Linked DNA regions of Arabidopsis thaliana. The protein of the gene in region 2 interacts with the protein of the main gene of each other region in a pairwise test. Each region holds a gene or a part of one and is shown on either strand. Other genes may lie near its edges. The genes, in order: AT1G66810, MYB62, AT2G31730 and AT5G07580.

Region 1 (6,418 bases), 670 kb from region 2:
CACAACAGTTTACTTTAGCTTATCAAACAAGCATACTGATATCGAAAACAGTCTAATATAGTAAAAAGCAATATAACATATACTGGTAACGTTACCAGTTAATACCACTGTTAGTACCAAATTTAACCAATAGACAAAGAATCCTCCATATGAAAGGCAAATCTAACCCAACTCGATCTTCCTACTCTTAAAGATTCACAATGTATCTTCCAGCTGGTAAGTAGCCCAATGACATTCTACAAACTTCATCGACCTTGTAAGTTGAAACCATTTTAGCAAAACAAGTAGTTTTAGATCAACTAATACATACAGTCATACAATACAGATCCTATGACTTAGACCAAGTTTTCTTTAGCGGACGGCAGGAACAAACTAGTTACAACTTCTAGTCACAAAATCGTCAGGAAACAGTTTTCTGCAGAGAAAATTGCTGTTCTCTTGCCAACCATAAACAGAACAACTTGAGACATAATACATCATCCGACACAATCACTGCATTCTTCTCCAAATGGTAAGACCAGCAAAACACACAGTTCGACATAAACTAACACATGCCCATCCTAAGATCTTAGTCTATGTTTATCAGCAAAACAGAAACTTGAAAGCCAGTAAGCAGAGATTACACATAAATACACAAACCAAGATAACCAACAAACCAAATCAATCTTTTCCCATGAATGTATTACCACCACTGCAGCAATTAGAAAGAGAAAAACTATAGCAGCACAACAGTTTAGGGAAGAAAGTTGCATACTTATGAACAAAGTAGAAAACTTTATCAATATAAATTTCATATCTTTGTTGAATCTAACATCCTTTTCAAGTCTCTCCTGCTTAATCCAAGAGAATACAAACAACATATCAAAAGAATTAACATCTCGAAGTATAAAAGAGAACCACACATTTCTTCAATTCTCCTTTCTTATCCATCCCTAATTATATTCCTATAATCCTATCAAACATTTACTTAACATCTTTCCCTTCCTTATTCCTATTGCAAGCAAATATGTTTCTTCCCAATTCATTACCCAGAAAAGTTACGATATTTATAAGGTATCAAATCTGAAATCTGTACACAACCACTAATTATTACCCTTTTTCAATGACCTTTCTTCTTCTCCAGATCAGCGAGTAAGCATCATCATCATCATCCTCTCTTGATCAGTAAGTGAGTGACGGAAATGGCAACGGTGACCGTACGGACACATAGCTCCGGTGACCATCATTCTGCAAACCTCAGTTTTGTAGCGTGGATGCCTAATCACAGGACGTAGCTCGTCGATTCCGTGAGCGAATTGGCAATTATCGCCGTAACAACAAGCTCCAGTCTCTTGCCATTTGTTACAAAGCTCCGTCTTCATCATCCCTTGACGATATACCTCAAGCTCTAATGCTTCTCTCTCCCCTTTTGTTTGTACTACACACACCTTTTGAGAAGAAGACACCTTCACAAAACATTTATGACGTCATTAATCAAATAAAAACAAATTTTAAATTTTAAAATTACAGTGAGAATTACCGAGTTAGAGCTGAGTTGACTCGTTTGGAGATCTGACGCTTCAAATCCATGGTTGATCTTGAGATATCCTTGAGATCTGACGGAGATGCTCTTAGGCAACGAGTTTCTCTCTTGATTGTTTCTCTTCGCGGAGCGAGAATCGGAGATCTGGTGACGGAATTGACGGTTATGGATCGGCGCCGGAGGAGAGACGGAGGAGGAGGATGAAGTAGAGATACGAATAAGTTTGAGTAGATCTGAGTTTTCAAAGCGGAGAGAATCGTTTTCGTGACGAAGAGAGTCAAGTTCCGTCATTAGAGATTGAAGACGGTTAAGGCAAAGCTCGTAATGCTCGTTGAGTTCGTCGTACTCGAGGATAAGTTTCGCTTGAAGAAGACGATGCTCTGTAGTTGTATCGACGCGAGATGGTGGTGAGGAAGAGGACGGAGGAGAAGGAGAGAGAGATTCCGGTGAGAAGATTGAGTTGTAGAGTGATGCGAAGCTTGCGGCGAACTCTTCTTGGTGTTTGTTGTTGAAGCTTTGTTCAGAGATCGGTGATAGTGGAGGCGGCGATGAGTTTATCGCCGTTACGCAAGCTAGATCTGTAACAGTAGACGCCGCGAGTTTCTCCATTGTTGCAATTTCTCGAAAGCTTCCTGAAGAAGATAACACAGAAATTGACAAAATTGAATCCGTTTAGATCTACAAAATCACAATCGGAAACTGAAACTTCCCAGAGAAGATAATAAGAGCGAGAGAGTACCTGAATTAGCTTTGAAACTTCTCAGAGAAGCGAAAGAGAAAGAGCGGTGAAATTAAGATATGAACGATGCTCTGTATATATATATATATATAGAGAGAACCAGAGAGGTGAGGAGGAAGAAGAAAGAGAGAAAGATAATATGCGGGAGAGACTACGAGAAGATTGTTACGCTACTTAATCTAGACCATACGATGAGATTATTTAAGGATCTGTTTGAGAAGCGAGTGTATTTAATTGGATAACGAATTGCTTCTTCATGGTTAAGTGAAGTGTAGAGGAATATTTCTCACCTACTTTCACTTTCGCGCCAACTTCAGAACCGTTAAAGATTTCTATGTAACAGAATATTATTTGTTTTTTAGATAACTTCAACAACAAAACTAGTGTTTAGTTTTACACATACAGTGAGAACAAAATTTAATATTCTATTTATATTGCTGTATAGTTTCTTAAGCTTAAGATTATAGTGACAATATTCACCATAAAAAATGTTAAATCCATTTGGTAGATCATATTTAGTCAATAACATGCATCTTCCATCCCAAAGGAGGTTTACTAGTTCGAGTATTTAATAGCTTAAAACATTAATAATATATTCATTAAGCAAGTATATAAATATGAACCTCAAGCAAAAATCTATTTTGAAAAAAAAAATAGATGGAAACAAAAAGTTTGTTAGGAGGGGAGGTTTTGTTTGTAACTTGGAGAATAAGGAAGTATGTATTGGTGTGTTTGAAGAAACAAAAATAAAGAAGAATAGGTCATTTTATTAAGTTTGGTTGGGCCAATCATGAATAAGAATAGTTAATGAATTGATGATTAAATTGGTTTTTTGATATATGCATGTATGTTTAGTTTCATGTTGTTAACGACCGTAGTAAGGTAAGGAATATATGTGAGTTTTGTTTGCTTAAAGAGCACAACTTTAACTAACTATGGTCCCTCTTTCTTTCCTATGTGTAATATACTTCAATCAAAATCTTTCGTTGTAGCTAACTAACTAGAAAATGTTTCCTTCCTTCTAACCCAACAACCCTGCCCAAATTACCTTCTTACCCTTTCTACGACATTTTAAAAACAAAATATCATATAACTTAATCCAAATCTGTATTTAACATTTTCTTGAAGAATTTGTATCTCATGTGTATCTTTTATCATTAAAAAAAACTGATAAATAGGAGAGAATCTGTAGAGACTTAAATGGGTTAAAGCCCAATATATGCGACAATAAGCCCAATAAATACCTCAACGCATATTCATCTTTTTTCTCAAATCTTATCTGATTTTCTCATCACTCATAAATTCACAATTCAGTGATCGTCATTTGCCCAATCACAAAACCAATGGGATCAACTAATAAACTCTGGAGCCGTAAACCAGACGTCAAAACCGGGAAATCAGAATTTCCGGTTACCAGATTCCTCCGTACACAAATCGATAACATCAAGACAACAACCGTCGGTCCCGGAATCGGCGGCGGCATTGGCTGCGGCGCTGGAATCGGCATTGGTCTCTCCGGCGGGCTCGGAATAGGTGCCTCTGAAGGACTTGACCATTCTAACGTGGTTCTTGGATTCGGTATTGGTTGTGGTATCGGGTTCGGGTTTGGATACGGATTTGGAGTTGGCGGCGGGTACAGTTTCGATGACATCAAAGAGAGATTTGACCTATGAAAAAAAGCTCCGGTTCATAATTCCGGGTCGGGTTTGGGTAAAAGATTTTTAAAGCATTATGTTAATTTTGTACTGTATTAACAGTTTTGTTAATTATATAAGTTCAATAAAAATATCCTCCCTTGTGTCCTTTTATTTTTCATAATAATATCACAATTATGAATGATTAACAGAAAAACCATAAAAATTATCACATGAAATTTATGAAGTAATCTGAAAATTATGAAGTAAACACATAATCTAATTAAAATTATTACTTTTCATTAATTAATAATAATTAAATAGAAGTTACCAATTTCTCGAAGCTCTCCAATACACTTCTCATGTGTGGTCTTTTATCTGGGTTCTTCTGCACACAAGCTAAACCGATCTTGATGACTTGAACCATACTATCTTCCAAATCTCTATCACGAGCTAAAACCGGATCAAGAACATACCAAGCCGGTTTATTTCTCTCACTAGCCGATTCAACCCACATAACCAAATCCATTTCTGAACTAACCGGAGATTTTCCGGTTACCATTTCGAGTATCACTAAACCGAATGAATACACATCCCATTTCTGAGACGGTTTAGTCATTTTTGAAGCTGCTTCAGGAGCTTGGTAATATGATTCTCTAGAGAGGATTGGTGAGCTTGTCTCCATGGGAGAGATTTGGTCTGATCTGATATCTGAAGACGTGTCGACGATACGACCTAGACCGAAACCGGATACTTTCGGTTCAAGATTCGGTCCTAGAAGTATGTTGCTTGTGTTTATATGTCCATGGACATACCTTTTGGGACTAAACTCATGAATATAAGTTAATCCTTTTGCTATTCCTCTCAATATTTTTAACCGGACCGTCCAGGTTAGTTGCTTGCATGACACGCTACCAGGTCTACCTGTCATAAATTTTTATGAATCAGTCTTGAATCTTAACTATGGTCATAGATTTATGCGATTTTGACACTAAAATTACCTTGAATTGCAGAACCAAGGTCACCATTTGGTATGTAATCATAAATCAGGAGTTTCTCTTCAGGAGACCAGCAACAAGCCTTGAGATTCAAGACATTAGGGTGCTTGATTTTCGCCATTGCTTCGACATCAGCTAGAAACTCTTTGAGCCGTAGCCAACCTTTATCTTCTAATCGTCTAACGGCTAACATTAATCCATTTTCAAGAACTACCTTGTACACAAGCCCGATCCTGCTCTTCCCTAGAAGAAAAGCCGAGGCTTTTAGAAGCTGGTCGAGGTCAAATTCGATTTCCGGGTCCATTGGCATGAAAACTTGTTGATTTTTGTTCTCATCTAGCGTTTCAGATTCTGAATTCCCAGTCTTGAAACAGAGAAACTCTGGCTTTGTCGTCTTCTTCAGTTTCTCGTTTATATGACATGTTCGGTTGTTTTGATCTTTGTTTGCACGAGCCGATGCTTTTCGGAGATAGTAGATGAATAATGAAGCAAGAAAAATGATTCCGGCGACTGTGCCTCCAGTGGCTGTAAGGATGATGCAGAGTCTAGAATGATGGTTGGCTCTTCTTGTATATAGTTGAGAAGGAACTACTTGTGTGTTTCTTGTGCTGCAAGAAATCTTTATCGGTAATCCACAGAGGAAAGGGTTCCCTTGGAAAGCATTTGGACCGGCATTCAACAGAACGTTGAATTTTGGTATCGGACCACTGAGATTATTGTAAGAAAGATCGACATAGAGAAGCTCAGGGAGATTTCCAAGACTTGTTGGAATCATACCTGAGAAGAAGTTATGAGAAAGATCAAGTGTACCTTTCAGATTCTCCAGACTTCCTACATCTTCGGGGATCGTTCCAGTCAAGCGATTGAAAGAAAGATTCAGTGTCCGAAGATGAACCAAGTTAGAACCTAACCCTGTTGGAAGATCTCCAGAGAAACTGTTCTTGCTAAGAACAAGCGTTTTCAGCTTCTTGCATGGAATAAGCGACAAAGAAATCGAACCGTTGAAAGAATTCTCCGAAAGATCCAGAGTCATTAGACTCTTCAAGCTACCAATCTCTTCTGGGACAAACCCGGAAAAAGAATTTCCAGAAAGCACCAAGCTTTGAAGCCCTTTAAGTCCAAAGAGTTCCACAGGTAACTTCCCTTGAAAGTCATTGTCTCTTAGGTTAATGTGACGAAGGGACAAGAGACTTCCAATGGATGGATCAAGAGAACCCGAAAGACGTTTATTAGGAAGACGAATCGAGACAACTCTCATATCATAATTACATGTAACACCTTGCCAAGAACAAGGGTTTGAATCTGAAGAGTTCCAATTGGTAAAAACAGAGTCACTCTGGTTTTGTATGGATTGTTTAAAGGAAAGAAGAGCAAGACCTTGATCGTTTAGAGAAGTGGCTATGGCAAAGAAATGAGTTAGAATGAAGCAGAGAATGAGAAATAACTGAGACATCTCTAAAGAGAGACACAATTCTGAATTGAGTAAAGTTTGGCTCCTAAATATCTCCAAGAAATTAGTGTTTAT
Region 2 (8,304 bases):
ATTGCTCAAAAGTTTAATAATTGGTTCGACGAATGTGGATTTTATCGTGTATGAATATTCTTTAAAGAACCATAGAACCACATGGAAATATTACTCGATTTAGGAAGGAATAAGGTGCCCTTTGCCTTTGGGATTTAAGGATAATGCTGCTGACGTTATCGTACTCTTTCACTATACTTGATTCTATGCTCTCTACATGTGTATTAGTGCAGAGTGCATATGGCCTCACTTATCCTTCAATTCCTTTTTTTATTTTTCTTAAATTGGGATGGTTCATTGTTTCTATGCTCTCTACACAGTCGACATGTGAGATACGAGGTTGGTTCACTATTCACCGAAACATGACAATCTATTCATGTCTTAGGTTTGACTATAATAGTTATGGAAGTGAAGATATAATCTGTTTGAACAATGTGAACAAGATGAACTCGGAAACACGGAACAAGAAAATGAGCATATATATATATATGCGTAATACGTGTAACGTGTGGTTGTAAGATTTGGTGCCAAAACAACACTGTTTACTTTACGAGATGGTCATAACTTTTGTTGTAAAATGTCTTGTTTCATGAACTAAACCAGCTGGTGTTCTTAAGTTGGTGCCTCTTCTTAAACAATAATCTTGACTTTTGACTTTCTCTAGTCTTTCATACTAACCTACGGCCTACCTAACCATACCAACGTTAATATACCAGTGCCACCCACTCTACTTCCCCATTATTTGTAGTAAGACTTTTTTTTTTTTTTTTTTTTTTTTTTTGGTTTGTAGTATTTCTTAACCAAAAAGTAATTTAAAAGACATATTTCTCCAAACTAAAGATTAGAACATTGTACGTTAATATATTTTGTGTGAACTGAAATATTTGGTCTTTTTCTCCCTGATGTTCTTTTCGGGTTCAACCGATGGAACTATCGATTTCGGTTCATAACTTTTGATATTTCTGCGTATCTCCAAATTTTTGATAAATGAGTATTGCAGTAGAAATGTTAGTTTGGCCCATCTCGACCTTAACAAGCCATACAGTTCTACGACACTTTAAATTGAACTTGCCTATTTTAAGATCAAGGTTTGGTCTCACTATCTGCCTGGTTGTATGGTCGACCAATCCGCAGATATATAAACTATTCAGACAATATAAAGATTAAGCTTGGTGATATGTAGACCAAACATGACTTCACTTTATTTGTTTCCCAAAAATTTTTTGAACATGAGAATTTCGATTACAGTGATTAAAATAAATGTGCTTGTTAAGTTGGGAAAATATGATTTTTTTTGGTTTCACTCTAATACCATATCAGTCGAGAAGGTCCGATCGATAGCCCACTTTTTATTTTGTGTGGGTAAGGGTAACTGGAGAAAACCGCAAAAATAGACACTTAACTACTTGACTAAAAACATTTTTCAAAATATATATGATTTTATGCAATTAAAATTCCACAATATATAGATCATTGTCATTGGAAATGAATTTTGAAGATGCAAATGATTTGGCCGCGTGGATTATGTTCTTACAAAATTTGAAATTTTTTTGCAACTAACATATATCCGTAATTAATGAATATTTGACCTATACAGTAATGTTTCTATTCAAATTGGGTCCACGTTACTCATGTCTTTTCTAAAAGTATTTGGCGTTTATCCACCAGTTTTAGATATTTAATCTTTAAGTTATACAATTTTATAATTCCACGTCCATAGCAGGACCATCTACGTTTCTGGATTCGATCATAAGGAATTTTTTTTTTTTTTTTTTTTGTATATTGTCTGAAATACTAAAATCTTTACATACACAATGAGTGTGATCTATCGTTCATAACCTCTCAAAAGTGCATCAATGTTTGTTCCAACTTTTAGTGGTACCCTTTGGGTTCAAATCATTGTGGAGTTTCCATGTACTTATGAAAGGCTTTTGAAGTGACCTCCAATAATTCGATCCCATTAACAAGACTTCTCCAAAGCCACCTTTCTCTATCATTTTAGTTGAAGCTCTTTTCAGATAATTATAATAAATAATTGATGGGTCCTTTGTCTCTATTATCTTCTTGAACCAACATTGATTACTGCTGGTATACAAAATGCGCATATATTAAAACTTTTGTATGGTTTGTCTAAATGCGTATATATTAAAACTTTATGTAAGAGCATTCAACTATGTAATCAATTCTTTTATTATTATTTATGATTCGTTAATTCCACAAAAAAACGATTTATGTCAATCAAGCCAAATGCCCTGTAATATTGTCAACGATCTTACAAAGAAACACATCAAATTTGGTGAAGGGACAGATGGTTGAGTCTCTATCCCCATCATTTTAATATCTTGGATAGATCGACTCTCCTAGCTTTTGGGTTATTTCACCTGTTGAGGTGAGATTAGATATGTTTTCTTCTCACTAAAATCCACACAAGTCTCAAAGATTTCAAGACAAGAGACTACCCTTTACTATTTACTCTTAAGTCTAGTCATGTATAAAATTGACCTGGTTAGTTCATAAATTGAAGTTCCATACACTGATACAAGATTTCTTGAATTTAAAGACTTATATAACAAACAAACAAGCATTATAAATAATTATCCAAACATTGACTTTGATCACCAACTAAGAGGAAAAATTTAGACTAATTTAACATGTTTCAATTCCAATCCGAAAAGAATATGATTAAAGTTTAAAACTTCATAAAATTCCATACATTGATAAAAGATTTCATGAATTCAAAGACTTGTACAAGAAACTATCATTATAAATATTTATCCAATGACTTAGTAAGTACTCGCAACAAAGAAGATACAAATTTAACATGTTCTAGTCTCCAACCCGAGATAATATGGGTAAAAGGTTCGAAACTTTTTGCTTAGTTAAGCAAAAGAAGTATATTAGTCCATATAATAGAACCGTAGTGGTAGGCTCTACCATCTCATCTCTTGACGACTTAATTACTCCCTAAACTGCCAAATGTCATCCACATTCCACATGGGATCTTGTGTAACATCCTCGTACGCTGAATAACCATCCGCCACGTGACATTCCATTGAGATGTCCGAGTTTACCATGTAATCCTCCATGCCAGGAACATATCCTCCGAATTCTTGAACATTGCCTTCATGGAAACACATCGAGCCATCGATGATATTGGTGTTGCTTTGATCCATAAAGTGTGGAACTGTTGTTAGATGAGACATGCAAGTAGAAGTTGAAGAAGAACCGTCTATGTTGCTGAAACCCGAGTAATCTATATCTTTTTGCATACTTAAAGAGTCGTGAGATTGAGAAGGAAGAAGAAGAGAGTTGTTGTTGTTGTTTTGGGGACAACAATAAGTAGTAGTAGTGGATGAGTTTTGTTCCATCTTCTCGATCAATCTAGGGACCCAAAAACTACGAACAGCGTCAAAGAACTTGTCGCTGTTAGATTCGATGTTGAGTTGACGAGCTTGTTTTTGAACTCTTGTTCTCCAATAGTTCTTGATCTCGTTATCCGTTCTTCCTGGCAAGTACTGTGCAATCTTGGACCACCTTAGATAACAAATATTCGTTTAGGAAAAAAGAAAAAAAAAACAAAAAAAGAAAATAAAAGACTCTTGAGATATGAAAGTGACTCATCACTCACCTATTACCCCATTTAGAGTGAAGCTCAAGGATCAAAAGCTGTTCTTGAGGAGTAAGATTCCCTCGTCTTATGTCGGGTTTCAAGTAATTCAACCATCTCAATCTACAACTTTTCCCAGTTCTCTTTAGCCCTGTTCTCATTTTTGTTAAAGATAGTGATTATATAGTAAAGTCAGAGAATCTAACTAATAAACCAATATCAAGTTCTTGATTAATTACCAGCACATTTGGCGACGTGATTCCAACGACCCTCACCGTTATGGAGGATGTAATTTGTGAGAAGTGTGTCTTCCTCCAAAGTCCAAGGCCCTCTTCTTAGTTCTTCATCTTCACTTTCTTTGAAGCTCTTCTTCTTCTTCATCGAATTTTCCATACTTAGTTTAAGTTTCCTAATTACTTAATGATATTTGGTTTGTGGTGTTTTCGTATCTTTTAAGCTCTATGCATGCATGACTGTATACAGAGAGAGAGAGATAGACTTTTAGGTGCTTTGAGAAGTGAAAGTGATTCAACAGGTTCTTGGGAATTTATAGACTCGTGGTCGTGGTATTGGAAAATGTTGTTACTTTAGCCATCAGCTTGCTTTTTTCCAATGAAAAATTAATTATCACACGTTTCCAAATTAAAGTAAATTGTTTTACTAAATTAGCTTCTCTTTTTAACTCATACAAAATATTGTTATTTTTTTAACATTGCCAAGGACATTTATACATTCTAAAATTGTCAAAAAACATGTTTTAACTCATTAGTATTTGTTATCACAAAATATCTCATTGACATTTTCTTAATCGCGTCTCTGTTTTCATCTTACGCATGCAATTTTTCTGAAATTATTTTTCGAGCTACCATTGTTCAAAAGCCAACACATATATGATATATGCAAACATTTTTTTTTTAAATCATCTGGTTTTTGTTTCAGTTAAATATGACTTTCTTAAAAAAAAAAGTTTTGGATTAGTCGAATCCTGCGATGAACCCTGGTCCAAGTATATAATTCATTAGAAGCATAGAATATATCGATACAGTTTCATAAACTTTTTTATGCGACGATGAAACAGAAATGGAATTTTGGTGATTTAACTCTATGGATTAGATGTTCACGTGAAAAGAATATGGAACAGAATTTTGGAAGAAGAAAGTACGATTTAGATTCTTAAATACTAAATTAACTATACAGGAAAAGTTTACAATAGTCATATTCATAATATGCTATAGAGTTCATTTTTAACTCTTACCTCTGTGATAGTGTATACTAGTCATTTTTCTTTCTTCTACTTCTAAAATTGTCTTTATCCCAACTTTGGCTAACAGTTTTTATAAAAATTTTGGTTTTCTATTTGGTAATGTTGCTGAATATTGAGATTGAACATAGTTTAACATAATTATTGGTATGGGAACAAGAAGCATACATGATACATGTGTCTTGACTCGAGACAAACAAGATATTACAAAACCTAATAAACCACTGTCCCACAAATTATTGATTAAATAAAAATTGTACCAAAACAATCCAAAAATTGGAATAAACACTCCAAATGTTTGATCAAGAGTCAAGACTTTTTGTTTAGTAGCTTTGAGCTATTGTGGTCGATGTGGCATCATCCGAATTCATATCCATATATTACATATGGTGTAATGAATGATATAAATTCTTGTAACTTTTATGTAAATGGTAAAACTAGAAGACAGCTATTTTTAACAACAATTTTCTAGAAGCCAGCTAATTTATGCGGACTTAGTATAGCATATTATCCTTTCAAACTTTGAATATTCAAAGATTCTTCTTCCTATATTAGTTTTCATTAGCTCAAATCGTATTGTATAATATTTTGTTAAACAAATAATAATTTTGGAAAAATAAGGAAGGGTCGTGTCGCTTTACACCGGCAAGTCAAAAAATGTCTATGTGCATGTATTAAAACTTATGGTATTGCTAATAACTCTCACTTACTGTTCAACCCAATCTTTTGAAGATGATAACTCCCAAAAACCAAAACAACATGTAAATAAAGCCTAAAGACCAGGAATAAAGAAAACAAAGTCGATTTGACATTTGTGTCTTCATTATCCTCTCTTATTATATAATCAACAATGACATAATTGTTACTATGTTATTAGTAACAGTCATTTTTGTTCTATAGAATTACAGTTACATTCATTTCCTTCAAATATTATCCATATAATTGGACTAACGTAAACAAATTTAAATATTTTTTGTCGTCTACAACTCACATACGCATATTTTCAAATTTAAACTCTACTTATAGCATAACAATTAACGACGACAATAATCAAATCACGAGACTACAAAAGAAGATGATTGATTGTTACCCGATTCTCGAGTTCGTCAACATCTACAAGATATATATGATTGCAAGATTCTATCGGAGGGTTACAAGTTATGCAACTAGGTTGATCTTGAGACCAAGTTGCTATATACAAGATTCTTGTTAAAGTATGATTCGAGTCCCATACATTATACAACGAAACAATAAACATCATATACTCTGGATAATCGAAAACCTAAAGATAAGTTGGGACACAAAAAGAAAGTGTGTGTTTCAAGTTTACATATCCTTTCCAAAAATATCCATCTCATTATCGTTGTTTCCTTTTTCATATATCAATACATCTAAGAAGAAGAAGAAGAAAACAGCTTTTTGCTTCATAAACAATTTGCTGACTTTGTAATAATGCATTAAGAGAGAGAGAGATGTGAAGTTCCCAACTTGATTGATGTATATGTACTTTGAAATCGAAATGACACGTCAACTTTTATTAAAAAGAACTTGTGTTTGAGACTTTATTGAAATGATTGAGAACAAACTTGAAATCAGAGTAAGTATTACAATGCAAGTCCTAGTCGATGTGATGGATCAAAATCTTTGCAAATAAAACAGAGACATGTATTGATAGTGTAAACTGAGACCACCAGGCTTGTGTAAATTACTTGCTCACAAGAAAATAAAAGCAATTCACTCTTCTGATGGCAGGCATTCATCAACCATCTCCACGAGGTTTGGATTCTCTAGTGCAGCCGCCACACGTTCTTTATCGTTTAGTTGTTTATTCACTGCATTTTAAACACCAAGAAACCAGACATCATGTTAAAGAAGTACACTCGATGTAAAGCAAAACATGCATACCAAAAAAGATGGATAGATATTGAAAAATGACATACATGCATCTTCTGTTGCATGAGAACCAGGTGCTACCCTTATATCAATCTGAAAAATGAAGATTCGTTTCAGAGGACTGAGGCACATAAAACATTGTGCGAGTGTGTTTTAAGGCAGTCCTAACTATATATAGTAGAGGCTAGGGCTATCTTCTCTTCGCAAGTATCAAGAACAGTTGATTAAGAATGAAAAATTAAAAAATTTCTCTGCCTCATATATCATCACAAGGAGAACATGTGTTGGATCTCAGTTACGTTCAAACCACTCTCGATAATGTATAAATCAGAAAATGGGCTCAGAAGATCATCTTGACAAACTTACAGGAAAAGGGAACCGGAAAATCTTAGAAATGAAATAACAAGAAAGCTTTGTACCTTGTATCGAGAAGGAAGGCTTCGTAGAAGTTTCACACGGACACAAAGACCGATAACGGTTGCCATGCTACAATGTTCGACAGTTGGAGTGAACGTAACCCTGAAAAGAAATGGTAGAGCTCAACAGATTGGCTCAAAGGAACACTAAAAATCCATAACAAAACGTTCAATCCCAACATTTTACCTAACATAACTGTTCTCATCATCCACTTCAACTGAGTCTTCTGTAACTACTCTGAGATCTTCCAGAGTATTAGGATGCTCTGGATCTTTGATATCTCTTATATGATTTGTGTATTGTTAAAGAAAACAACAGAAATAATCCAATATCATTCTGTATCAACTAAAACATAGATTCCATTTGTTCACAGATTACCAAACCGATACCACGCATAATTACAAGAAATTTAGCATTCGAGAACAAAAGATTCATAGGTAGGCTTTAAGCTAAGAAGCATGTCAAATGGTTCCAACACCTACTTCGAAAAGATATGCATATGAGAACAAAAGATTCATGACTTCTAATAGTGTAAAGAAGCAAACTTCAAGCTAAGAGGCATGTCAAGTTGTTCCAAAACCTATGCATACACTAGCTACTCTTAATTTCAGATGCTAATAGCTGTAAGACGATAATCACATCCTCACAATCACACACAATCAAACCAATTCACCAATTAAGGTTTGCAATTAGAGTAGTTCTAAGAAAACTTGATGAAGAAAGGATATCAAAAATCTCAAGTTGATCAATTGGTTCTGGTGTAAGCTCATCAGTAATGCTTGTATCAGTACGAAGACGCCTCTCTTTCTTTGGGTAAATGATAGGGTTCTCATTAATCAACCCAGATACCATTTTTCTTCTCCCTGCCAAAAATTGAGTTACAGAGACTCGTAAAGCACGAAACTTTTCAATCGGAAATTACAAAACCCTAAAAACCCTAAAATTCCCAGGGAAGAAGCAAGCAGCGAATTGAAAACTAAAGAAAGATACATACCGGAATCGAAAATCAATCAATCAGCAAAGTTTTAAGATTTAGTTCGATTAGAGAAGAAAGAGGCAAAGATTTTGCGATTTTGAGAAATTTGTAAGAAAATTTAAATTTACAGGAAAAGAAAAATCGGATATGGGCTTACGAGTACGTTAAGGA
Region 3 (8,515 bases), on a different chromosome or scaffold from region 2:
TTAATTTCTTGATGAAGGTTTTTCTCGACAGTAGCCATAGTGGAGCCACCATGGAGGATATCCAGGTAGGTACTATCTACATTTTGAGTTGTCTGATGCATTATGTTGTTTACTTATTGATCGATTTTATCTGGTAACTTATTCATCTCAGAATGATTTATCTCCAATGGTGACACAACTAGCTCCCAGAAATGATGATGAAGCTCGCATTCCGTATGTTTATCGGATTTTTTTTTTACTATATTCTCCATGATTTTTGGTGCAACAGTAATCCTAACTCATTTTGTTTCCGCCATTATTGCTTGTTAATTAGTAGTTGAATTGAATTGGTGCTGTAGGTATATGATGGCAAGTGATGGGATAAAAAAGCGTGATACTGTCCACGAGGTATTATTACTAGATATACCCAATTAATCACTTAATAAAACTGTTATTTGTTGTCTCTTCTATTTCTCGCCTTTCACAAATATGATCATCGTTTCCTTTATTGATCTCCGTGATTAGACTTTTATCCACCACTATTTTAGCAAATTTTAATACTACTGATTGGTTAGAATACGTAGTTATGGGGATCTTTTTTGTTTCTTACTATTCATTTCGATTTGTAGGTTACATCTCCTATGACTGGGAAAGTGGTTGTTGAAGATGTGGTTTATGAAAGCGCTCCTAGTAATTTAGAAGACTTGTCTACTTCTAGTGATTTGGCATTTCGACGACTTGTATTCAAAAGGACTGAGGGTTTGATACAGTCTGAAGCTTTGCTTGTAGAGGATGGTGAGATTCTTGAACAGTCTCAGAAAGAAAAAACTAAAAATGTTTCCCAATCGAAGCGAAAGGGAAATAAAAAGCAAAACCAAGGTAAAAATCGTACTTCTGTAAGTGTTTTGATACATTTCAGGTGAAAAGTTTCATGATCTTTTTTACATGTATCCATTTCAGAACCGAGCAGGCCTCTTATGAGGGTCTCTCATGATTATCTGGCTAGCTCTTACCACACTGGAATTATTTCTGGATTCACATTGGTATCTTCCTACTTGAAGAAGGCTGAGTCATGCGGAACGATGGTGAGCATTATTAAGTTGTGGCCTCACGGTGCAACCGATCTGAATCTTTTCTTTGCCTTGTACTGATCCAGAAATGTTCTGATGCTTTTCAGGTTAAGACTGTTGTAATTGGTCTTGGAGCAGGATTACTTCCCATGTTCCTCCATGGATGCTTGCCATTTTTCAGTATTGAGGTAATTTCAGTTTAAAGGATTAATCAAGTTGAGTATTTTCTATTGCCACTCATATTCTGTATCCTGTTGAATAGGCGGTTGAGCTTGACCCAGTAATGCTTAGTGTTGGCAAGGATTACTTTGGTTTCACACAAAATGATCGCTTGAAGGTAAAATTCTCCCTCTTTACAACAAAAGTGCTGGCTAAACTTTAACATGTTTATATTCTATTCTATTATATGCACCATCACTCAGCTCGTTCGCATTCTTATAATAGGTGCATATTGCTGATGGGATCAAATTCATTAGAGATATAACAAACTCTGAAGCTTCGTCTGAGGAATCGTCAAACATTGGCTCAAATGGAGATTCAACCACTCACAATACACAAGGTGGAATTTGTCCTGACATTTTAATTATAGATGTGGATTCAGCAGATTCAAGGTAAAAGACATGGCAAGTAAATTCACATATCTATGAATTTACCCACATGGTAAGCCTGATTGTTTTCTTGTTTGATCTCTTGTCTGCAGCGGCGGATTAACCTGCCCTGCATCTGATTTTATCGAAGAGACATTTCTTCTTTCGGTTAAGCAAGCTCTCCCTCAGCACGGTCTTTTCATAGTGAATTTGGTCACGAGATCACAGTCCGTCAAAGATATGGTAGTATCAAGAATGAAAAAGGTAAAGCAAATGTGATTCATTCCTTGTAAATTCTCTGCATATTTTCACAAATCTGATCTGATACTATTGCACGGAAATTGAGTCATAGAATTGATCTCTATTGTTTTGTTTTTTGCCAAGGTTTTCGATCATTTATTTGGCCTGCAACTAGAAGAGGAAGATGACGTAAACGTAGTGCTCTTTGGGCTTTGCTCTGAATCTGTAATCAGCGAGAACGATATTCCAGAATCTGCAGTTATACTGGAGGGATTGCTCAAGTGCCAGAGATTGGAAACGAAGCAAAGCATCATAGACGCTACAAAGAAGCTGAAATGCTGGAAATAAAAACATTCTTTATTATTTCGTTTTAAAAAGACGTGTGAGATATATTTCTGTTATAAGTTAAGATTGAAATTTTTGAGACTATATTATATACAATACACCTAGTTTCGTCCATACGCAAATGGAAAATGAAGCGTGGAGTTTTTTTCATAACCTTTATGATTGTTAGACCTACCAACTTATTGAAGCATTCAATTTGGATGATAGTGAAGTTGGAATGTAAGTTAAACATCAATGTCTTGATTAATTTTGTGCATTTTTGGGAACTATCCGTATTGTTTCTGATTTGAGTGATCTTCCTTATTGTTGCTAAGAAATGCTCGAATGGTGATTAGCATAATTGCTGTTTATTCATTGGAGCTATAATAATTATGGTTGTAATATTGTAATTTGGGAAAGAAAGCCTTTGATACAGGCCGATTTTGGTACGTACGTAAGAGAGATATAAATTGAAACACCTAAACCAAAATCTGGTCGCCGCGAAGACAAAAGAAAAACATTTGTGGCAAAGAAACAAATTCAGAAACCGCGTGGGTCCGATATGGAACGCTGATCAATTGGACATTTGTAAACATTTCAAATATTTTGCATGTAATCAATATTGTTGTTATATTTTTTGCCTTTTAGTTATAGTTAGGTTTGTTTTTTCTGTTTGTTTGGTTAGATTCAACTATTTGTTTATGCTTTTCAATTTTGGGTTAGTATTTAGCTGTTTACTTTGGAGAAACAAAAGAAGATAGATTCTGTTCCATATAAACAAAAAGCTGTGTCGTTGAAACTTGAAAATGTGAATATACTCGGATATCAACCAAAGGGTACGCTGCATTAACCAACCTCCCTCGTAGAAAATTTCAAAGAAAGGATAACAAAACAAGAAAAAGCACAAAGTTGAAAAAGAAGTGACAGATGCAGAAGAATTGGTCAAAATCATTTTGACAAAACTACATAAAAAACAATCAAATGTCACTTTCAAAATTATTAGCTTATTTATTATTTTATTATGAAAATAATGAAAGCGACTTCTATCTGGGACTGGTAAAAGGACCTCTCTCACCATTGGTTGTACATTAGCTGTCAAATTTTTACATTTCCATTACATTCCCTAACTCCAAATATATACACTAAACTAAATTCTTCAAGTTACTTCCTAATTACTACTATAGTAATTATTTCCTAACCGTCAAATAGTACTGAATAACACATATAATATAGTTTCGATTGATTAAGAGATTTGAATTAAACAGAATAAAGTTTTACGATTATATATTCTAACAATTTATTTGTCTCACAAAAAAATCTATAGATTTAATGAGAATTAAATGAAGAGGACGAAAGGAAAAACAAAATGAAGAAAAAGACATATGAAACGTAGTCCCCTCTTTTCTTTGCTTTCTTCTCTACATAAAACTAAAACTCCTCTCTTTCACGACCCTTTAAGTAACGACGCCGTTTTCATCCAAACACAAACCTCTGGAATCGTGTCACCGTTGGAGCTCCGGCTTCATTAATGGCTTTCTTCAAGACCTGAAGACAAAAGAAAGTAAAAATATATATACACTAGAGAGACCAAGATCCTCGTTTATGGGTTTCATCGTGTCTTGTGCTTAGGGTGACATAAATACCCATTTAGAGAGCTTAGACCAAGAAGTTTTAGAGTTTGTGAAGTTACTTGTTGGTTAGTCTGCTGTTTCTGGCAAATGCTGAGTCTCTTCTCTCTGTAAGTTCTTTTTTCTTCATTTACTCTGTTTTGTTCCCCATTTTTGGTCTTTTTGACTTAACTTAGAGTATTTTAAGGCAAAATAAAATCATGAATCTTTTGGTATTTTTTGTTCTCATCTTCTTGTGGGGTTTTTCTATTGAAGTTTGCTTAGCTTTGAATCTTGTCTAATGGAGCTAACTCGATCCAAAATAAAAACACGTATAATGATTAACTAGTTCTGCTCATTAGATGAACTAAATTAATGAGTTAATTCCGTAGTTTCATGCATCCTACAATGTATTGTCTATGTATGGAAGCAAAGTATGATATCATATTTAAACATCTATGATTGTGCTACTAAACTTTAAATAATACTTTAAGCTGATGTGATCTTATATGGATAACCTCTGACCATTATCTACTTTCTTTGACCATTGCTCTTGTTTTCTAATCCAAAAGTCGTATCTTCCAATGCATTAGTTGGTCCAAACCTAGATTTGCATCCCTTAATTTGTAGTAGTTAACATCTAATTTTGATGTTAAAACCAAGACACCACTTTGTTTGTCTGGTCTGAGAATATCTCAAGGCGTATAGTTTTGTCCTTATGACGCTTGCAAAAGCAAGTTGTTGAGTTGTAATCTTATGTTTTTTTCTGCAACTTGCCTTGGATGAAGCCATGAGATTATCTTTATAAATGGTAGCAAGTAAACCGGTTTCTTATGTCGAAAAACCGATCATTTTTGTTTTGTTTGATGACAAGGAATGGAATACTCTAGAGACTCGGCAGAGATGATGATGGAGACTAAGCGCAATGTCTACTCGCTTGAAGATAACAAAATTAAACGACACAAGTCATCTGATCTCTCTTTCTCTTCCAAGGTCTTGTGATACATCAAAATCAAAATTCATTGTGGCTATGAAGCTACCGGACATTTCTGTACCAGCATGCTAATGATCTTGAAACTTTGTTGTTCTGTGGTTTAAACAGGAGAGGAAAGACAAATTAGCAGAACGTATTTCAGCTCTTCAACAACTAGTTTCCCCTTACGGAAAGGTACTACTTGGTCCGAAATAATCTTTCTTACACGCTCTTTGTCTTCTCTAGCCATGTTCAAGTCTCTATCTATGCAGACCGACACTGCATCAGTTCTTCTAGAGGGAATGCAATACATTCAGTTTCTTCAAGAACAAGTCAAGGTCTGCTCAAGTTTTCTAATCAAATACTTTTCATTCATTCACCTCCTCCAATCCAATGATGATTATGCTTGATTTTCTCTGTTCAGGTTCTAAGTGCTCCTTATCTGCAAGCAACCCCTTCTACTACAGAGGTGAGCTGAATCTATGATCTGGATCTCGTTTACTTGGATCACAATGCAAGACTGATATTTTCCATCTCTGTAACTAGGAGGAAGTGGAAGAGTACAGCTTAAGAAGTAAAGGGCTATGTCTTGTTCCATTGGAGTATACATCAGAAGTTGCTCAAACCAATGGTGCTGATATTTGGGCTCCTGTGAAGACTCCAACATCTTCTCATGCTTTTAATCTCTCGTCTTCTAATTCGCCCTTTCAATGAGCTGCTGCTAAATTCTCTGTCTCAAGACTAATGAAAATTAGCCAAAGCTTTGGTCTGATCATGTATTGATGGAGAGACCTTGAAGTCGGTGATGGCTGTTTCTGTTATTTTTTACTGCTTAATCCCAACTCTGTGGTGGCTTCTTGTAACAATTGATTCTAATGCGAAGTTTAACGGACCGGTCAATGACCGGAATTAGCTTCCTGTTTAATAAAGTTTGAATTGGTGAAAAAGAGTTAACCGGTTTAGAGAAACCCGGGAAACTTAACCCGACCCAAAATTGTCAAACCCGTTTTGTTTGCGGCTATTGAAGGATCTTCTATTGAAGAGAGCAGCTAGCTAAAACCCTAAAGCCCTAAAATCAAAATTACGCTAAACAGAGAAGGCGACAATGGATCACATCGCTGCGGCGGAAGAGCAAATCGTATCGGAGAGACTTCGAAGAAAGCTTGAAGAAGTTAATGTAGCTGCTCAGACTCAGCTTTCTCCTATCCAAGATCACATCAATTTCACCCTTCAGGTATATACAAAAATCTGTACTTTTCGCGAGCTCAGCATAAATTCTCTCTGATATAACAATTTAGCAATGTTAGCTTCTGAATATGGAATCTTTATTGGTTTGATACAATGCTAGTTTCAAATTTGATGAATTGAGTAGGTTCATGAAAAAAGTCTGAAAATTTGCATTTGGGTTCGTACTATATTCGTCTTTAGACACTATGGATTAGGTTCACGACAATTGCTCTGGTTTAATTACTATATTGTGCTCTGTAGGATATTCGATAAGTAGGCGTGTCTCGTTGCATAACAATTGCTCTGCTTTGTCTTCAGAAGCATGAGAGTTATTAACACCTTCTCTTGTGTTTTTGGGTTGCTATATTGAGTTATATGATCCGTTGATTCAAATTAATTAAACCCTGACAACGATATCATTGTTGCAGCAAGCTTATTTCAAATGTGCATATGAGTGCTTTGATAGAAGAAGAAAGCAAGAGGAGATAAGTAACTGCGTCGAGCACTGCAGTGTTCCCGTTGTCAAATCTCAACAGTATTTCGAGAACGAAATGGCTCAATTTCAGGTAAAGATATCTGCTAAAAGATGATACATAGTTTGCTGTGTATAAAGACTGATTTTTGTTGAATGAATGTATAGGAAAGATTGAACAGATCACTGGTGGTGTGTCAAGACAAGTTTGAGGCCTCAAAGCTCCAGAAGATAAGGCCTGAAGCGGTTAACGAGATGGAGAGTTGTGTGCACAAATCCATTGAGGAAAATCTCAATACATTACCACATATTGTGCAGAGAATGAAGACAGCATTTAACATAACCAACTAAAAGCTCTCGTGAAAAACCTTGGATTCCAGAACTTGACTAGCCATATTGTTTGAAAAGACCTTTTCTTTTGTCTTAATATGATCTACAAATTTGTTTTCCTTTTTCTTATATTAAGTTTTAAAATTTGCCACTGTTTTGGAATAACTGTATTTGCTTGTTCTTCATCTTCCCTAGCGAAAACTTTAAAACTCTATAAAAAAAAATTGAGGATAAATACATGAATTTAAAGATTGAACCGAACAAAAGAGACTAACCAATAGAATAGAAGCAAGTAATTTAGTGAATATCTAAAACTAATATAAAAATATATAGAGATTATCACTAACAAAAAAAAATAAAAAATAATAGAGAGTTATATATACCTTTGTTCGTTTGTGAAAGGAATTGACAATCAGAATCATATAAAAGCAAGACTATAAACTCCTCTCTGCCGCTTAACTCTTTCTTCTTGTCTCTCTATTTTTTATAACAATGGTGAGAGGAGATGATCAACTTAATGGTTTGCAGGGAGGGAAGAGAGCGTTAGATATTTTATGTGTAGCGACGGAGAGAACGGTTAGCGCTTTTGCATATGAGGAAATAGGAGAAACATCCACTGAAGGTGATAAAAGGAGGGAGAGACTGAGAAGACTGAGAAGATTAATTAATTACAGTCTGAGCACAACTATGAATTCCAGCTTGAGCAAACGACTGAAGATTGATGAGTGCAAGAATCAAGACCCGGAACAAAACCCTAATCGTGTTGCTTCTTCTCCAAGTTCGTGCCATCTAGAGTCCAAGAGGCCTCAAAAAGTGGTTTCAAACAAACCGGTAAGAAACAGAAAGCCGGTTATAGTGACAGATGAAGATAGGACACCGACGGAATGGCTGATTGACGTGATGAGAGAAGTGAACGGTATGGATGCAAAGCTGATATTTGTGAAGGTTCTTCCCAATAGTGATGTCGACGAACTTCAGACACGTCTTATGATGCCCTGGAAGCAGATACTAGATATGGACTTCTTAAACGAGGAAGAGTTAGAAAAAATAGATAGACATCACAAAAAGATTAGTGCCAGTGACAAAGGAGCGGATGTGATCGTGGTGAATTCTAAGGGTCTACAGAGGAAGCTTAAGCTCAAGAGATGGGATATGACTTCCACTTCCAACTACGTCTTAGGTTTAGGATGGAACAAGGTCGTCACCGATAACATTCTACAGAGAGGCACTAGGCTTCGGATCTGGTCCTTCCACTCCCCAGACATGCTCTTTTTCGCCTTCGTTCTTTCAGATCCAGATCCAGCTCCGACTGAGTGCCTAAATTTATTGGCTAAATTGTGCGAGGAGACGACTTGTCTCGAGGCTTTACAAGAGGCAAATAGGATGAGCTCACTCGTCTCGGACACAGAGCTGGACCTCGAGCTCCGGTTGTAGTTAAGAGTTTCCAGCAGCAAAAAACAGCTCTTCTAGCTCTACTGCCGAGGTTTGCCATGCAAGTATTTTTTTTTCAGACACTCGATGTTGAGTTAAAGTTTGAATATGACTTGACAATTAAGTCATTAAATCCTAGAGAGATTAGGACTAGAAACTTTAGGAGATATCTAAACAATATTTATGAGTTATCTAAATATTAGTTCTATTAGGATTAGGATTAGGATTGTTTAAGAGATCTCTATATAAGGAGATACCAACATGTGGTATAACTT
Region 4 (7,407 bases), on a different chromosome or scaffold from region 2:
ATCCAATGGAGGTCCACCCGATACAGATTCATTTGGTGGAGATCCACTTTGTGCAAGCCCACTCGGTATAGATCCACCTATTGTAGATGCATCTGATGGTGATCCATTTGGTGCAGGTTCACCTGATGAAGATCCATCTAACGAAAATGCATCCGGTGAAGGTGCATCTGGTGAAAGTCCACCTTGTTCAGATGTATCTTGCAAAGGTCCATCCAGTGCAGGTGCATCCATTGGATGTTCACTCGATAATGGTGCATCTACTCCAAGTTCTCCCGATACATTTCTTTCAAATGTATTTCCATCCGATAAATCTTCACCGGATGCATTCTCACCCGATGTAGCTGCACTAGTTACATTACCATCTGGTAAAGATCCATTTGATATATCTCCACCCATTGTAGCTCTACTCGATGTATCCCCCCTTGGTAAAACTTCATCCGATGCATATTCATCCGGTATCAGTCCAGGAATTTTCGAAAAGTCTTTCCCTTTAGTAAAACTACAGACAATTGAATACATGTAGTTATAGAAAGAATGGATGAATTAATCTTGAAAGTTTGGTCGATACTGTTTCATAGTGTCTGATATTGATTATACTACGTTTAAAAGGTAAACGATCCTTTTTAATTATGGTCGAACTAACGATCATGAGTTTTTACTGATGAACCATTAAACTACCAAGTAAATTGTTCAAACGGAACACTGATAAATGTTATATGAATGCTTTATTTGGTCCAAATTATTTCTCCAAAGACATAATCAGTTTTTTTTTTCTTGCTTTGTTTTGCTTTGTTTTGTTTTTTGGTAAAGGAAGACGACCTGTTGCACATGTAGTTCACGTATTCTATGACTACGCTCCCGCCTGATATATATTCATAAATAGAGTCACAAATCATGAATTGTAGACGTTAATTAATTTGTCTATGCTCTCACATACGGTATTTAGTTTGAAGTTATACAGGTATAATAAAACGGTAAAAATTCAGATATTTGTCGTCACCAAGATAACCCCAAATGCTAGATCAACGCCTAAATGCGCAAACAGATTAATATAGAAAGTGAATGTTTTGTAGGTTAGTGTTACTTACTTATAGAGCCAAGTTAAGATGGTGAGAGCCGTCAGACCGGAGGTACCTCCAGCCATTAAACTTAAAGCAAGAACGGTGGCGGTAATACCCGCTGGTACGAGAACAGGGCTGAATACAAGGAAGAGCGGCATGGAGGCGGCTAACGCCATGGCTGTGCCAACTAGTGATAAACCGGCCAGCAACAAGAGGAATACTGCGGCTGTAGAGGCAAAAAACGCTATCAAAACACCCTTAATCGTCGGCTTTGGAGATCGTAATCTCTCGCGTTTTTTCTTGCGAAACAACATTTTTAATGGCCAGAAAATATTCCTTGTTTTATCGGATGGTTATGTTGTGGGATTTCATGAATTAGGAGAGTGGATTTTATGAATAGATCTAGAGAGGTATGGTCTACGTGCACGGCACGTGCTTTACCTCATGCGTAACGATGCAAGTGACTGTTGAGCTCTACGTTACCTCAATGCCTCTTCTCCTCTCTTTTTTCTGTTTCCCTAGCTAATTTTGTTGGTTTACCACATTTTTTCGTCCTCTATTCCTTGTTTCCTCGCTTTCTTGTAAAATAGTTGTAGGTATTTTGGTTTATATTGGGATATTGTTTGTGTAGGTTGGTTTGACTAATCTAGTTTTCATTATAATATGATTGAATTATAAGTTATAACCAAAATCATTTTGATTCGGATTGACTAGACTTTTTTTCAAAAAAAAATTAGTTAGATCTTGGTGTGGTTTTGATAGAGTTTGTTTACGTTGCGTATTCTTACATGTGTTAAATTTCCATGGTAAAATGAATAAGTATTGTAGCTAACTTTGAACTGTTATAAGGACCTAATTAAGGTACATAAATTGTTAGTCAGTTTCAAGTTAGGTTTAGTAAGTGTTAACAAACAGTTTTAAAGTCGAGTTCTCTCAAACTTCTTTTTTTTGATAAAAACTGCTCTCAAACTTATGGCGATCAGAATCATCAATTAGACCAAAGAGAAGAATTTTCGTTATCCGATTTCCAAATACAAGAAATTCATCAAACTTACACAAACAAAGTAACTAAAGCAATGCATTTAATATTGTTATTAAAGGTTCAGTAGCTGTAGTAGTATGTGCGAGATGAGTCACTTGATACAATTCAATTCATACTGAATAATGTTGGTGGTTGAAATAGAACAGTCTCTTCTGTTTGATGTTTCCGATCTTTTGTTTATTAGTACAAAAACAAAAAAAAAAATACTTCGTTTGCTATGTATATCAAAATCCTTAAATAATTTATTTTCTTACGCATAGATTATGGATGGATCATATTTTTCTGATAGGAGGAAAGTTCACAATTTTGAATTTTCACAACTGTTAGCTGAATGCAAAATACAGGTGAAATGTTCGCCGGTAAACTTTTTATCTGAAACTAGTTAAAACTAACAGACTCGGTAAGCATAAAAGTGATTAGCATATCATTGACAACCAATAATGGATGATGGCGCAAAGACATCCAAGTTAATCATAATCTATGTTCACATTATTATAGAGATTACTATTATTATTTTGGACAAATCTATGTTCATATTATTATTTATGCAAAAAGAGGGTGGATTAGGTTTAACTGTTGTGGAGCCCTAAAAATTAATTAAGAATCCAAAAAATCAAGTTGCTTCAAATCATTTCCCACCAGGAGAGGCCTACCAGGAATACAACTTGATTGAGCTGTCTTTCCTCTTTTAAAATTTATCCATTAGGAAGCTTTTCATATAATTTTTTTTTTTTTTTTGGGTATGAAAATAGAAAAGTCTTTTGAGATTAGTATCCAAAAAAAACAACGATTATTTAATCGGACGTTGTTTGATCAGAAATGGTTTACGAGAAAGTCGGCATATTATTCGATTTTTCATTATTTTCTCGATACATTTTTTTCATTCGAGTCTAATTCACGTATGTTAAAAAGTTATTTGATGTACAAATAATCCAGATTATTCGACCTAGTCGTATCAGAGTTTCGAGATAAAGTTGTAAAGTTGGTTAGAAATCCTTATGATATCAATAGATCAAATAACCCTAGTTAAAGCATCAAAAAATCAAATCCACCTACGTAAATGCTTAGAGTTACACTCAAATTTTGATTTTTTAATGACATCTCTTCATATGCAGAGATTGTTTTTATGTGGAAACACATAGACTAAATGGCTTATCTTTAAATAGAAAGTAAAAGAGTGGAAGTGAAAGAAAGAAAGAAAAAAAAAAACCAATTTATTTGTCATTTATTATTCTACAGAATGGCAGAATGACTATGTAAAAATTTGATTCTGTGAAATTTCGTCATTATGCATAATACCAATAATTATAAATAGCGAATAAAAACAAAAACAATAATGGGATGTTTAGCAAAAAAGAAATAAAAAAGCAGTGCCGTTGAGAATCAAATGGTTTTTAGTAGTCAGCATCAAAGGTAAAAGACAAGTTGAGCATAAATCATATGAGAAGATTCATCGTTAGAACCAAAATGTAAAAAAGAAAGAAAAAAGCTTAGCTTTTGATTACAGTTTTGTGCAGTGTGAAGTGTCACATCACACAACAACTTGGGTGAAGGAAGGTCCTTTCAAAAAGTTGGACGTTGTCTTCATAAATTTGTATTAATTGATCACAGACTCATGACCCCATCTCTAAAACCACTAAGAGAGCGACAAAACCATAGCTTTTTTTTTGTGTCCCTACCCCATCCATGGCTGCTAAAATCTTGTGATTACCTTCTTGTCTCCTTCCTCTTCTCTTTCCCTCTTTTATATAAGAACCAAAACATCCACAGCTTTTGTTCCATCATCACTTGCAGATTCTTTCTCTCTTTCGTAAAAATGGCGAGTTTTGAGGAAAGCTCTGATTTGGAAGCTATACAGAGCCATCTCTTAGAAGACTTGTTGGTTTGTGATGGTTTCATGGGAGATTTTGACTTCGATGCTTCTTTTGTCTCAGGACTTTGGTGTATAGAACCACACGTTCCTAAACAAGAACCTGATTCTCCAGTTCTTGATCCGGATTCTTTCGTCAACGAGTTCTTGCAAGTGGAAGGGGAATCATCATCATCATCATCACCAGAGCTGAATTCATCGTCATCAACATATGAGACTGATCAGAGTGTGAAAAAGGCAGAGAGGTTCGAAGAAGAAGTAGATGCTAGACATTACCGAGGAGTGAGGCGAAGGCCGTGGGGGAAATTTGCAGCAGAGATTCGAGATCCAGCAAAGAAAGGATCAAGAATCTGGCTAGGAACATTTGAGAGTGATGTTGATGCTGCAAGAGCCTATGACTGTGCAGCTTTCAAGCTCCGGGGAAGAAAAGCCGTGCTCAACTTCCCTCTTGACGCCGGGAAATATGAAGCTCCAGCGAATTCAGGAAGGAAAAGGAAGAGAAGTGATGTGCATGAAGAGCTTCAAAGAACTCAGAGCAATTCATCTTCATCTTCCTGTGATGCATTTTAGCATATTAAGAGTGTGAGCAGTTTCCTTAAGTTGTATAAAGTAATTGTACAGAGGAAACGAATTGTGTAGGTTTAGTGTGCTTGCAAGTTGCAACAAATGTGTATGGATGTTCTGTTTCTTCATGTCCCTAAGATTTAGAAACATCTTCTTATTTCCAAGAAAGTTATTCAGTTTCCAGGTCTCTAAACAACCTAACTAGTTATTAGATGTTGTAATCCATTAGTCAATGGTTTATGAAACAATCAAGTTCTCAATCTCACACATAGAAACTTCACTAAAACAGCTACAAAAAGTGAGTGTACCAAGAGGAGAAGGGGAAGTGAATCAAGATGAGCAAGTTACATGAATGTAGCAGGCTAGCAGCAATGTTTGTCTTCATAGGTTAGGTACAAGTCAACACTCAGTGATAAAGGAACTGGACCACAAGCTACAGAGACTTGAAAGAGAGATGCACAACTTGCAAATGCAGAATAAACAAGTCAACACTCAGTGATAAAGGAACTGGACCACAAGCTACAGAGACTTGAAAGAGAGATGCACAACTTGCAAATGCAGAATAAACAGAGCAGAGATATTTAGTTAAATATCTACTTCTCTCTGTTTACTAAATGGTTGAGTATTAATAACACTGAAACCAGGATACCATTTCCTAATCTCTGTCTGGTTTCCTAGTTTCAGTGGTATTTTTCCGGTCTAGACCCTTGCTGGGTGGACGAATCCTAGGCCAAAATGGGATCTATATATTTTTGAAGTGAGATATCTTATAACATCCATAGTGAGCTAACCTGGTTTGGTTTTAGATTGAAGAGACTTTCTTCAAGGGTTGACTGAGTTGTCAATGCAAGGCCCACCATATTGGACCTATTGGTCACCACTGCAAGAGTAAACTTGTAAAACAGTTACAAACAATGGCATATACCAGCATATCCCATTAGTACATGGAAAAGGCAGAACAAGTCACTCTTCTCTAATCAATCATTCTCCATAGTTCCAACGAAATACTTGAAGAAACTCAATCATATCTATCTCACTTTTGACAAGCATAACACTTCTTTAGTCTGAATACTTTTCATGTTACTACAACATAATGGATGCATCATTATTCATTACCTTCCAACACAGAGTTTTGGTGGATGCCTTTATCTGTTGAGTCCGCCATCGACCAACATCAAGCAGGAGCCTATTTCCTGAAATGAGAACTTTAGTTTGTTGGGTCAAGGACTCAACGGTTACTCAAGAAAGCTTCTTTATACATTGAAAAATGTTTTTAACATTCACTAGTAAATGTCGCGGAAAAAAACACTCCTAAAATTGAAAGACAAACAAGGCTGAAACTTTTACAAAGAACCACATAAGTAATCTTCAGTCATCAGAACTGTAGTCGCTGGACTCAGGCAGAGACGGGACCGTGGCACAACAGAACGCATCTTTGTCTTTGAGAAGGAGACAGCTTCCATCAATGTTCCATTTGAGGTCCGATATGGAGAAGCCCGGAAGGGGATTGCATACACAGAAAGCACCCGAGGGAGTCCACATGTAAAGGTGAGAGCTTCCAGTGCACAGGAGGAGGCGTGTGCAGGTTGGGTCCCACACAGCTGCTCGGATGGGTTCCTTCTGGACCAGGATGGCTGCAACCTCGAGGAGGCGCATGTCCCATATCCACAGAGCAGTGGGCATACTGTCGTTTCGTGTGCATATGTACTGGCTGTCTTTGCTCCAAGCTAGAAGGCCTGCGAATATTTCAAAAGAGTTTAGCTTTGGAAGTTAAAAACAAGAAGGAAATTTCGAATATCCGATTGCAGTTTCCAAGGTTGCATTTGGTCGCAGAAGAAAGAGCTTACCGACTCCTTGTTTTGGGTTAGGCTTGTCCGCAGGAGGTTTCTGGAAAGGAAAAGCTACCGGTAATTCCATGACTTCATACCTGACACTTATATAGCCTTCTGAAGCATCTGCACATAGAACCACAGAAGAAAACAAGATAAGGTTACAAACAAGAAGAATGGTACGGAAGTTTTCGCTATCAGAAAGTTTTGGAATCGTTGTTACCATAATTGCTTGGCATAAAGTTTTCATCCAACGATAACTCAGACATATCAAGCTGTAATGGTTCATCGATTTCCTAGAAAAATCATGTCCACTAGGTTAAATACACGCCTAAATCAGGCTGTTACCAACCTTATTGTCAAAGAATGGAAGTGGATTTACCTTGAAAATAGCCGCAGAACAGGGCGCACGAACCGTTGATAGGTGTAAGAACTCAGCGAATGTTTTCCAAGTAAGGTGATTCAGGACCCGCAACATTTGATCATAGCTACCAATGGCAAGAAACTGACCACACGGAGACCAGGAAACAGTCTTGACACCAAGTCCACATTCATATGCCTGGTACTTAAACAGACACCTACCATCTGGAGAATAAATTAGAACCTGCCCAAAAGGTACAAATTTTAGAGATATCTCCAACAAACCAAACATAACAAAATTCCAATAACTATCTAAAAATAGCATCAATACCAAAACGATACATACCTTATATTCAAGAGGCGAATCCCACACTACAATAGAACTATCATCAGGTGACCACTCAAGATCAGCCAAGTCCAAGGTATCAACAGCAAAGCTACCCATTATCTCCCATGATTGACAAGACAAAAGGTTAACATAATCCTTACAGTCACGCCGTGTACATATAGCCGCAAACTTCCCATCTTGATTGAATGAAACTCCCTTGGAACCATGCTTTGGCCACTGAACATGAACACACGCCGTGTTTAAAAGAGACCAAACCGTTAACCGCAGCTGAAACTCTGACGTAGTGAGTATATGACGGCTATCTGGACTCCACCTAGCGTATGAAATACCAG

The links.
Region 1: the proteins of MYB62 (region 2) and AT1G66810 interact in a two-hybrid assay, tested with the Arabidopsis thaliana proteins (one large-scale study listed by BioGRID).
Region 3: the proteins of MYB62 (region 2) and AT2G31730 interact in a two-hybrid assay, tested with the Arabidopsis thaliana proteins (one large-scale study listed by BioGRID).
Region 4: the proteins of MYB62 (region 2) and AT5G07580 interact in a two-hybrid assay, tested with the Arabidopsis thaliana proteins (one large-scale study listed by BioGRID).

Annotation. Positions count from the first base shown.
Region 1 is NC_003070.9:24,926,489-24,932,906, forward strand, and holds AT1G66810 (Zinc finger C-x8-C-x5-C-x3-H type family protein), read right to left. Parts: upstream 2,567-6,418; 5' UTR 2,262-2,566; intron 2,155-2,261; 5' UTR 2,132-2,154; coding exon 1,520-2,131; coding exon of another isoform or gene 1,448-1,519; exon of another isoform or gene 1,446-1,447; coding exon 1,125-1,445; 3' UTR 758-1,124; downstream 1-757. Other genes in the region: AT1G66820 (glycine-rich protein), read left to right, coding at 3,605-3,934; AT1G66830 (Leucine-rich repeat protein kinase family protein), read right to left, coding at 4,212-4,819, 4,897-6,346. UniProt on the Arabidopsis thaliana protein: Functions probably as a transcriptional factor that activates genes involved in secondary cell wall biosynthesis. May play a role in both transcriptional and post-transcriptional regulation. Binds to ssDNA, dsDNA, and ribohomopolymers in vitro.
Region 2 is NC_003070.9:25,599,517-25,607,820, reverse strand, and holds MYB62 (myb domain protein 62), read right to left. Parts: upstream 4,146-8,304; 5' UTR 3,980-4,145; coding exon 3,826-3,979; intron 3,738-3,825; coding exon 3,608-3,737; intron 3,514-3,607; coding exon 2,937-3,513; 3' UTR 2,640-2,936; downstream 1-2,639. Other genes in the region: AE7 (MIP18 family protein (DUF59)), read right to left, coding at 6,582-6,679, 6,788-6,833, 7,160-7,259, 7,344-7,437, 7,868-8,009. UniProt on the Arabidopsis thaliana protein: Transcription repressor of phosphate (Pi) starvation-induced genes. Negatively regulates Pi starvation responses via the repression of gibberellic acid (GA) biosynthesis and signaling.
Region 3 is NC_003071.7:13,484,762-13,493,276, reverse strand, and holds AT2G31730 (basic helix-loop-helix (bHLH) DNA-binding superfamily protein), read left to right. Parts: upstream 1-3,597; 5' UTR 3,598-3,938; intron 3,939-4,585; exon of another isoform or gene 4,586-4,681; 5' UTR 4,682-4,683; coding exon 4,684-4,800; intron 4,801-4,909; coding exon 4,910-4,975; intron 4,976-5,052; coding exon 5,053-5,118; intron 5,119-5,204; coding exon 5,205-5,249; intron 5,250-5,326; coding exon 5,327-5,494; 3' UTR 5,495-5,727; downstream 5,728-8,515. Other genes in the region: AT2G31740 (S-adenosyl-L-methionine-dependent methyltransferases superfamily protein), read left to right, coding at 18-65, 152-213, 339-387, 609-858, 940-1,064, 1,157-1,237, 1,312-1,386, 1,494-1,660 and 2 more; AT2G31725 (FAM136A-like protein (DUF842)), read left to right, coding at 5,886-6,014, 6,436-6,573, 6,648-6,830; AT2G31720 (B3 domain protein (DUF313)), read left to right, coding at 7,302-8,243.
Region 4 is NC_003076.8:2,395,807-2,403,213, forward strand, and holds AT5G07580 (ethylene-responsive transcription factor), read left to right. Parts: upstream 1-3,919; coding exon 3,920-4,543; downstream 4,544-7,407. Other genes in the region: AT5G07570 (glycine/proline-rich protein), read left to right, coding at 1-523; AT5G07571 (Oleosin family protein), read right to left, coding at 760-862, 1,089-1,375; AT5G07572 (uncharacterized protein), read left to right, coding at 1,107-1,457; AT5G07590 (Transducin/WD40 repeat-like superfamily protein), read right to left, coding at 5,906-6,273, 6,385-6,492, 6,590-6,662, 6,749-6,970, 7,073-7,407.